Solanum lycopersicum: one gene and its partner. Each later gene encodes a partner of the first gene's protein in a complex. Links are inferred from orthologs where the notes say so. Each region holds a gene or a part of one and is shown on either strand. Other genes may lie near its edges.

Region 1 (3,438 bases):
GTCTGTATGACAATAATGTAGCATTTAGAATCAACCACGCACAATTGCACTACTCAGCTCCAAGTTCTCAAAGCTTTATAATAAGGAAGAGTATTTTGAGTAAGTTACCGACTAGGTAAGCCAGGATACATGGTACTTCCACCACTCAAAACAATATGCTGGTAGAGCTGCAAGTGAAAATTTAAACATATGATGGATGGCAAATGACAACACTATGGCAAAGAATACAGAAGAAATTTCAAAGTTGAAGTACCATCATCCTGTTGTCAATATCCATCTCCTGAATGCAGCGAAATACCATGTCAGCCATGCCATCACCTTCAACATCAATAAGATCCTGAAATGGACAGAAAAAGTGACACTTAGCTTCCTTCCACATACAGCAACCCATCAATAAATATATTGCAGAAGCGTGAAATAATATTTAAAATTCCTTGCACATACATCAACCCTTCAATTAGAATTTTGGAGAAACGTGGAATAATATTTCAATTTAGCTTTCTTTCACATACATCAACCCATAAAGTAGAAGTTTGGAGAAGCATATAATAGCATTTCAAACAATGCAGTTCAAAGTTCAAACAATGTGTTCTTGCTTCAATTTTTTCACAAGGACTTAATTGACACTTCATCTGAAACAAATTGGTTCAAAGATAACACTCTATTGCTTTGCTATTGAATAGTTGAGAGGTAAAAGAACTACCAAATTTAAAAAGCTGTACGACAAAAGATGGTCATGGTATTAGATAACAAGTGTCACATTGACATTTGGTGTTACATGGGATTTGCAGGATTAGATTGCTTTATGGGAATACATCAATTGCCTTTCATCTTTACCACTACGAGGAAAGCAAATCTGGTGCATTTTTATGTAAAAGGTATGTTCTTGATTTGTGAAAGAGGAAAATAAAAATGGGAATGCATGCTCACTGGAGTAAAAAGAGCCTCAGGTGCCTGGAACCTCTCTGTGCCAACTTTAAGTACCCTCCCATCTGGAAGCTGTTGAAAAACAAGTGAAATAATGAGTTACAGATGACCAAGTTTCTTATGGGAGAAAAAAGGATCTTTGCTTCCAAGAGCAAAGTACCATACCTAATTGCAGTTCAAGGTAGTAGAAAAGCTTAAAGAATAGTAGTGCCTTTGTTTTTTCCAATTAAAAGCTTATTATGGATGGAGCCTACTCACAGTATAATTCTTAACAAGAATTGTCGTTTCAAGCCCCAACTGATACTCTCTCTTGTAATCATAACTGCAGTAAAGAAAATATCATTACTCGCCAGAAGAATTAGTAAAGGGATTAATTTACAACGCAAGTAATTCACCTAATGTAGCAGAGCTTTTCTTTAATATCCCTGACAGTCTCAAAATCGGCACTTCTATTCATTGCATACCTTCAGATATGACTGACCATCAAAACTCCAGTAATGGTTTAAAATAATCAAATTAGCATGAATGACCCTATTTAGTTTATTTCAAACATATGTTGGCAATTACCCTCTCCGAAGTAGCAGATCAACCATATAAGACGTTATATGCCGTCCAGCTACATTCATTCTTTTCGTGAGGTGAGGAAATGAGTATCCATCTACAACAGGAACCTGCACCAACATATTTCTGAATAACATACAGAAGAAAAAATATCCCCACGGTTCATAGCAAGTATTACCATGTGCCACCAAAAGAACAGAGAGCTGAAAAAACACTGCCTTTATGACCAGCTTGAAGGAGCAATCTTATTAGACAGGGAGCCCAATGGACTATGCAGGAAAAAAGTTCTAGTTTTGGGAGTAGCAACTCCTAGTTTGATTACCTCAAACTTTATGAGAATTAACCTTCTCTTTTGAATCAATGTTGAACCGAGACAAACTATAGATCATGAAACAGCTATGCTTATGGAAAAACTTACAACATGTGTAACTCCATCACCTGAGTCGATGACAAGCCCAGTCAACAAACCTGCATATTGGAACATAAAAAATGAGCAAATCCATCATCAGATAGGGCCCAAGTAGAAGCAAAATATGACTTAGCCCCACCCTTGTAACAAATACCCGCTACAAAATTGCAATATCAAGACTTATGATGGTCCTTCTCGCAACAACAACATACCCAGTGTAATCCTCCCACCAAGTGGGGTTTGAGGGTAGAGTGTACGCAAACCTTACCCATAGATTTAGAGAGGTTGTTCCCGTTAGACCCTCAGCTTAAATAAGCATGCCAAACAGTTTGAAAAAAGGGGATACAAATATGAGAGCAATAACTACAATGAAATAATGCGAAACGGAGAGCATTACACAACAAAGTGCAGAAAGAACAGTAACGATGATGAAGTAATGCAATATTCTGAGCACAAACTAAATCCAAGAACAAGAAACTACGAGAATAGTGCTAATATTACTGGTAAGAAGGAAGGTCCAAGTATTACCACCAACCGTATCTATTGAGAATAATAGTAGTTAGCATAAAATTATTTAATTTGCACATTAGTTAGTTAGTTAAACATTTTACATTCCATTAGTTAGTTAAGTAGTTAGTTAGTGGAGAGAGAGTTAACAGCTGGCTTAACAGCCATGATAGCTGGCTAACACACTTGTATATATGTATGGATTCATTCTCATTTTACAGTTTAACAGAATATAGAGAAAATTTTCCCAATTAATTCTCTCACTAAAATTTTCATGTATCAGAGCTGTGAATCCACAAGATTCAGATTCACAATCAATTCAATTTGAAGACTTCGAAGCATCCATTGAGTGAGTTCAAAGAAGATGATATTGACATCAGAGGATAGTGCAGCAGCTACAGTTTCAGGAGTTTCAGCTGATACTCTTGATGGAATTGAGAAAAATCGAAATCATCCACTATATCTTCATCCCTCTGAAACTCCTGGGAGTGTATTGACATCAGTACAACTCACAGGGGCTGAAAATTACTCATTGTGGAGCAGATCGTTAATGATTAACCTTCGTGCTAAGAGCAAGCTGGGATTCGTACTTGGAACTTGTCGCAAATCTGATCACAAACCTGAATTGGAGGAGCAATGGGAGAAATGCAACGCATTCGCGTTAGTATGGATCATGAACACGGTGCCTAAAGAGTTATTGTGTGGAATCGTATATGCATCAGATGCAACAATGGTTTGGGAAGATTTGAATGAGCCCTTCAACAAGGTTGATGGATCTAGAAGCTATCAGCTTCATCGTGAAATTAGTACAATTAGTCAAGGTAATTTGACAGTTTCTGGGTACTTTACTAAATTGCTACTTCTATGCAATGAGTTTGACGCACTTGTTCCGCCTACTGCTTGTAACTGTGATAAGTCCAAAGTGTATGTTGATCATCTGCAATTTCTGCGATAATTTGTTTCTTTGATGGGTTTGAATTAGGTGTACAGTCATGCGAGGAGTCAGATTTTAATGATGAATCCATTACCTAGTG
Region 2 (4,433 bases), on another chromosome or scaffold:
TGACCTAAAGTTTTTTTTTAATACACAACTACTTCACATTAATTTGTGAAATTTACAATGTTTAGTCAATAAATGTCACAATCAAAATAGATTTATATCATTATATTTACGAATAGAATTTTAATTTAAATATACATAAAAACTTATTCCAGACAGCTGGTATATTTAACTTATTAATTTGAATTCAATTATATAACTTTGACGTTAACATTAGCACAGATTCCCTTTCCACACTCTCCCTTTGAAATATTGAATTTTACTAGAAAAAAAAGAATGTTAAATTTGTTAATATATCAATATTTCAATTCAAAATCAACTAAAGTAATTAGAAAAAAGCTAAGCCCCAAAATTATTGCAAGTTGAACTGATTGAAATTAGAGAATTTTGTGATGGATTATTCTTAAGATTAAGAGTTAGAACAATGAAGACCACAAATTTTAAAAAAAAAGAAAAAGTAGAGAAATAATTTTTTCAAAACAATGTCATTATCAAAAGTTTTCATAGAATAGCATTATTCCTAGAATTATTCCCCTTTTAGAAATTAGGTAGTCATCATTATTATTGGTGAATTATAAAGTAGGGTATTTCAATTAGTCTATTATTAAATCTAGACTCCTTAAAAATCATATATACTTTATGGAAAAGGCGCAAATATAACGTTAAGTTTGTGATTTGAAATGGATATATTTCTTGATTAAAAAAAAATTATACATATATATTTACGTTGTTTAACAATATGATACCTGTATATTCGTGACATAAAGTATAAGGAAAGAAAAAAATGCTAGGCAAGTTTGACAAAAAGTGATGGTTAAACCTACCGTATAGTATGAGATAGAGTGTCGATTAGTCAAGAACTTTCATGTTCAAAATATGAAAGCTACGGAGATGAAATGTTTGCGATGAATGTGTGGGAATAATAATAAGACATGATTAGAAACGAGGATATTCGGAGACAAGGTGCATGAGAGTGATTTTGATGAAGGACAAGATGTAGAAAGCAAGGCTAATGTATGTAAAGAGGAGCTGCACGAATGTCCCAATATGAAGGTGTGAGAGGTTGATAATGGGCGGCCTCGAAAAGGTAGAGATAGGTCGAAGAAGTATTTGGAGAGAGGTAATTAGATAGAACATGACACATTTTCGACTTAATAAGGATACGACTTTAGATATAAGGTTTTGAAAGGCACGTATTAGGCTAAAGAAGTTAGTAGGCAGTAGTGTGTGTCGTCTTGCTATACGTCCACACTAGTAGTCCTAGCATTACTCATATAGTTTCTCGTCCTTCAATTTCTTTTATCGCTCGTTATTTCTTATACCTCAATTATCGTACTATTTTACTAAACTTCAAATTGGTTAAGAAGAGGCCCATAAACATTGAGCCCAATAATAGTTGATCGTTAAGCCCATCTTCAACTACCATCACCGTTTATACCCGATTCTCTCTTCACTTCTTCTTTGATCTTCGCCGGAAAATATCACCCATCCCTGTCGATCTCAACATCTCTCGCCGGTGAAATTAACTATCTCTTCTCGGAAATCCAGTACGTAAAATTACGATCTGTTGCATATCTTTTCGTATCTACTCTTATTATCATATGTTTAACATATTGCGTTTTTGTTGTTGAAACTGTTGCCGTGATTGTTACTACTGTGATTATAATTGCTTTTTCCAAAATGCTTTAAACTGTTTAATTGATATCGTAATTCAGTTAATATAATTCGCTTGGGAATTAGGGGAAATAGCTAGGTCGGAGATCTTGCTTATAGAATTCGGATTGAAAAAAAACTTAAAATTGGAAATGAGATGCTATATTTGTGTTTTTATGGCGATATAGGGAACTTTTTGATGTGTAACTAAAGAGGGAAAAACTGGCATTATAGTTGATGTTATGGGAAATGTAAGATAACTTACATGATTTGCTAAACCATGTTTAATCAAGGGTGAGCTAGGAATTTGAGTGTATGGATTCTAGAAAACGGTGTTTACTAAGTTATTGATAACTTATTTATGCATATTAGGTGGATTCTTAAACGCAAATACAAGATTTGAGCCGAACCTACTGGTTTTGGTCGAAGCTGTAGCTCTGCCTGTGTTTAATGGATAATTCTATAGTAGCGCAAATTAAAAAGATACGAATAGAATGGTTGGGAATGAAAGTGCATAGATGATCTGGAAATAAAAAAGGAACAAGGGGAGAGAGGACGGAAGATGTTGGACTATATGGAAGATTACCTGAATATTACTTAGATGCATAGCTAGTTATCTGATGTAGATGAAGTAATCGTAAATTTTGATGCACGTCCTCTTATATTGGAGTCATGTTAGTTGTGTTCTAATTAATCTTAGTTATCTGATACTTGATGAGTGCATCTGCAGATTGGTGTTATAGCCTCTTTGGTTCGAAATTATACATTGCCTTCTGGTGCTAAGAAGCAAAATTTTCAGCAAGGAAAATGGTAAAGAAAGCATTTTTTTGCTTACATATTTCATTACTTTGGTGACAATTATCTCTCTGAGTTGATAGTGTGATAACTTCCACGCATGATGAAAACCATGCTGTTTCTTTTCCTTTGGTGATCGACTTGGCCCTTTTCCTGGTTTGGTGCACTAAATGAGCTACATGGCTTACATTTCATGTGTTCATTCCACTATTTTGAGTTACACTTTGGTTTCTTCAAAGAGGAATAAATAAATGACAAATGTTGTATTCTGTTTTTAAAACATCTTGGCAATGAGGATCTGTTATTGGCAATATGGGATGGATTGTGGTCTTTCTTTGATCTGTACTCACTTCAAGAAGTCTATATATAGTCTAATGGTGATAAACAAGACAGTAACTGATTTAGAGTAGGGGACTTAGATATGATTTGGATACATGCATGCAGTACGGTATCTTACACACTGATTAATGGAAATAACATGATAGAAATTCCAACCAAAACTGAAGAACAGAAAAGAAAGAACCAAAAATATAAAGATTTAGAAGTAAAAAGAATTACCACCAAGGTTCAAGCTTGAAAGAATTTTGAAATTCAGTCCGGACAAAGACTGTTTGAGCCTCAGAAAGATATCAATCTCAAAATTATATCAAAACCTCTCTAAAAACGAGTTTAACCTTATGTGCAGATTATATTACCTATGTTTGAGAAAAGAATAAATTACACTAACTGAAAAGCCTCCCAATTTGTAAGACCAGTGTGTCACACATGACCGATTCCTCAAGTTCAGCCCGCTGCACTGAGTCGTAATTTCCAGCCCGCTTAACTTTTGGTGTTTGTGTTTCGGTGCAAGGCGTCCAGCCTTAGCTCCTTCTGTCCACACCCAATGCCTTAGCCGTGTGCTGGACTTTACTTTCCAGCAAGTTTTTTTTTCAGCCACTTCCAAGCACTCCTTGAACTCTCAAACATGATATGCTTTGCTCGAATCTTCGCCATGCTCTCCAAGCATCTTCTGATTATCTCTTAGAGATCTGTAACTTCTTGATGTGTAATCCTTGGATGCTCTTGGTCTTGGAGCGCCTGATGGTCCTTATGATCGTTCAGGATCTCTTCCCTAATGTGCATCTGCTATCCGGGGTTGTTTGAGGACTCTATTTTTCTTGGCGATGAATTTTCTGTATTCAACTCTAATGAATTTGTCCTTTCTATTTTATTCACTCTATTATTTTTGTTTTATAGGGTGTTTAAACCCATAACAACTTGTCCCATTGAGTGCTGAAACCTGATTTTGATTCAATTGCAGGTTTATCATTCCAGTTTCGTTGATGAGGAAGGAATTAGTAAAGCTTGTGGATGTCCTTTGTTACCTCTGAAAAGCCATATAAGGGGACCTGCTCCAGTTTCAGAACAAGGTTAGTCTTACGAGTCTTTTCCTTATTAAGAGAATGTCTCCACATTATTATGGTGATGCTGATCTTATTTTTGAGCAGATACAACCGATATTGTTGATGAAGCAATCACATTCTTCCGAGCAAATGTCTTCTTCAAAAACTTTGATATTAAAAGCTCATCTGACAAGCTACTTATCTATTTGACATTGTATATCAATATAGCCTTAAAGAGGCTTGAAGGCTGCCGAACTTTAGCTGAAGGAACCAAGGCTATCATCAACCTAGGTCTGGAAAATGTTCCTGTACCTGGAGAGGCAGGTTTCCCATTCCCAAGCTTATTTTCTCCAGCCCAATCTAAAAAAGAAGCAGGTAAGTTGTTATTTGAACGAAGCAACCTTCTTTTTATATGTGAATAAACCACCAATAAATGATTTTGGTTAATTTTGAGTTTGCTGTTTGCTTTAATTTTTTTCCTTTGAGATTCTAAAATGAAAACAAACAAATTCACATCTCATAGTTATTCAGATGATGATATCCTAGTCTAATTGTGCCAATCTAATTCTTCTGGAATTTTCATGTACGCTACATTTGTATGGCTTG

What was found.
Region 2: actin-related protein 2 (region 1) and actin-related protein 2/3 complex subunit 3 share a complex: the UniProt entries of both Arabidopsis thaliana proteins name them as parts of the arp2/3 complex. The link is inferred for Solanum lycopersicum from reciprocal best matches to the Arabidopsis thaliana genes ARP2 and ARPC3.

The regions. Positions count from the first base shown.
Region 1 is NC_090801.1:71,233,149-71,236,586, reverse strand, and holds part of actin-related protein 2, read right to left. Parts: intron 1,957-3,438; coding exon 1,907-1,956; intron 1,599-1,906; coding exon 1,495-1,598; intron 1,392-1,494; coding exon 1,323-1,391; intron 1,250-1,322; coding exon 1,186-1,249; intron 1,000-1,185; coding exon 931-999; intron 338-930; coding exon 254-337; intron 168-253; coding exon 109-167; intron 1-108. UniProt on the Arabidopsis thaliana protein: Functions as ATP-binding component of the Arp2/3 complex which is involved in regulation of actin polymerization and together with an activating nucleation-promoting factor (NPF) mediates the formation of branched actin networks.
Region 2 is NC_090806.1:3,894,521-3,898,953, forward strand, and holds the start of actin-related protein 2/3 complex subunit 3, read left to right. Parts: upstream 1-1,368; 5' UTR 1,369-1,544; intron 1,545-2,380; 5' UTR 2,381-2,457; coding exon 2,458-2,460; intron 2,461-3,745; coding exon 3,746-3,854; intron 3,855-3,932; coding exon 3,933-4,202; intron 4,203-4,433. UniProt on the Arabidopsis thaliana protein: Functions as a component of the Arp2/3 complex which is involved in regulation of actin polymerization and together with an activating nucleation-promoting factor (NPF) mediates the formation of branched actin networks.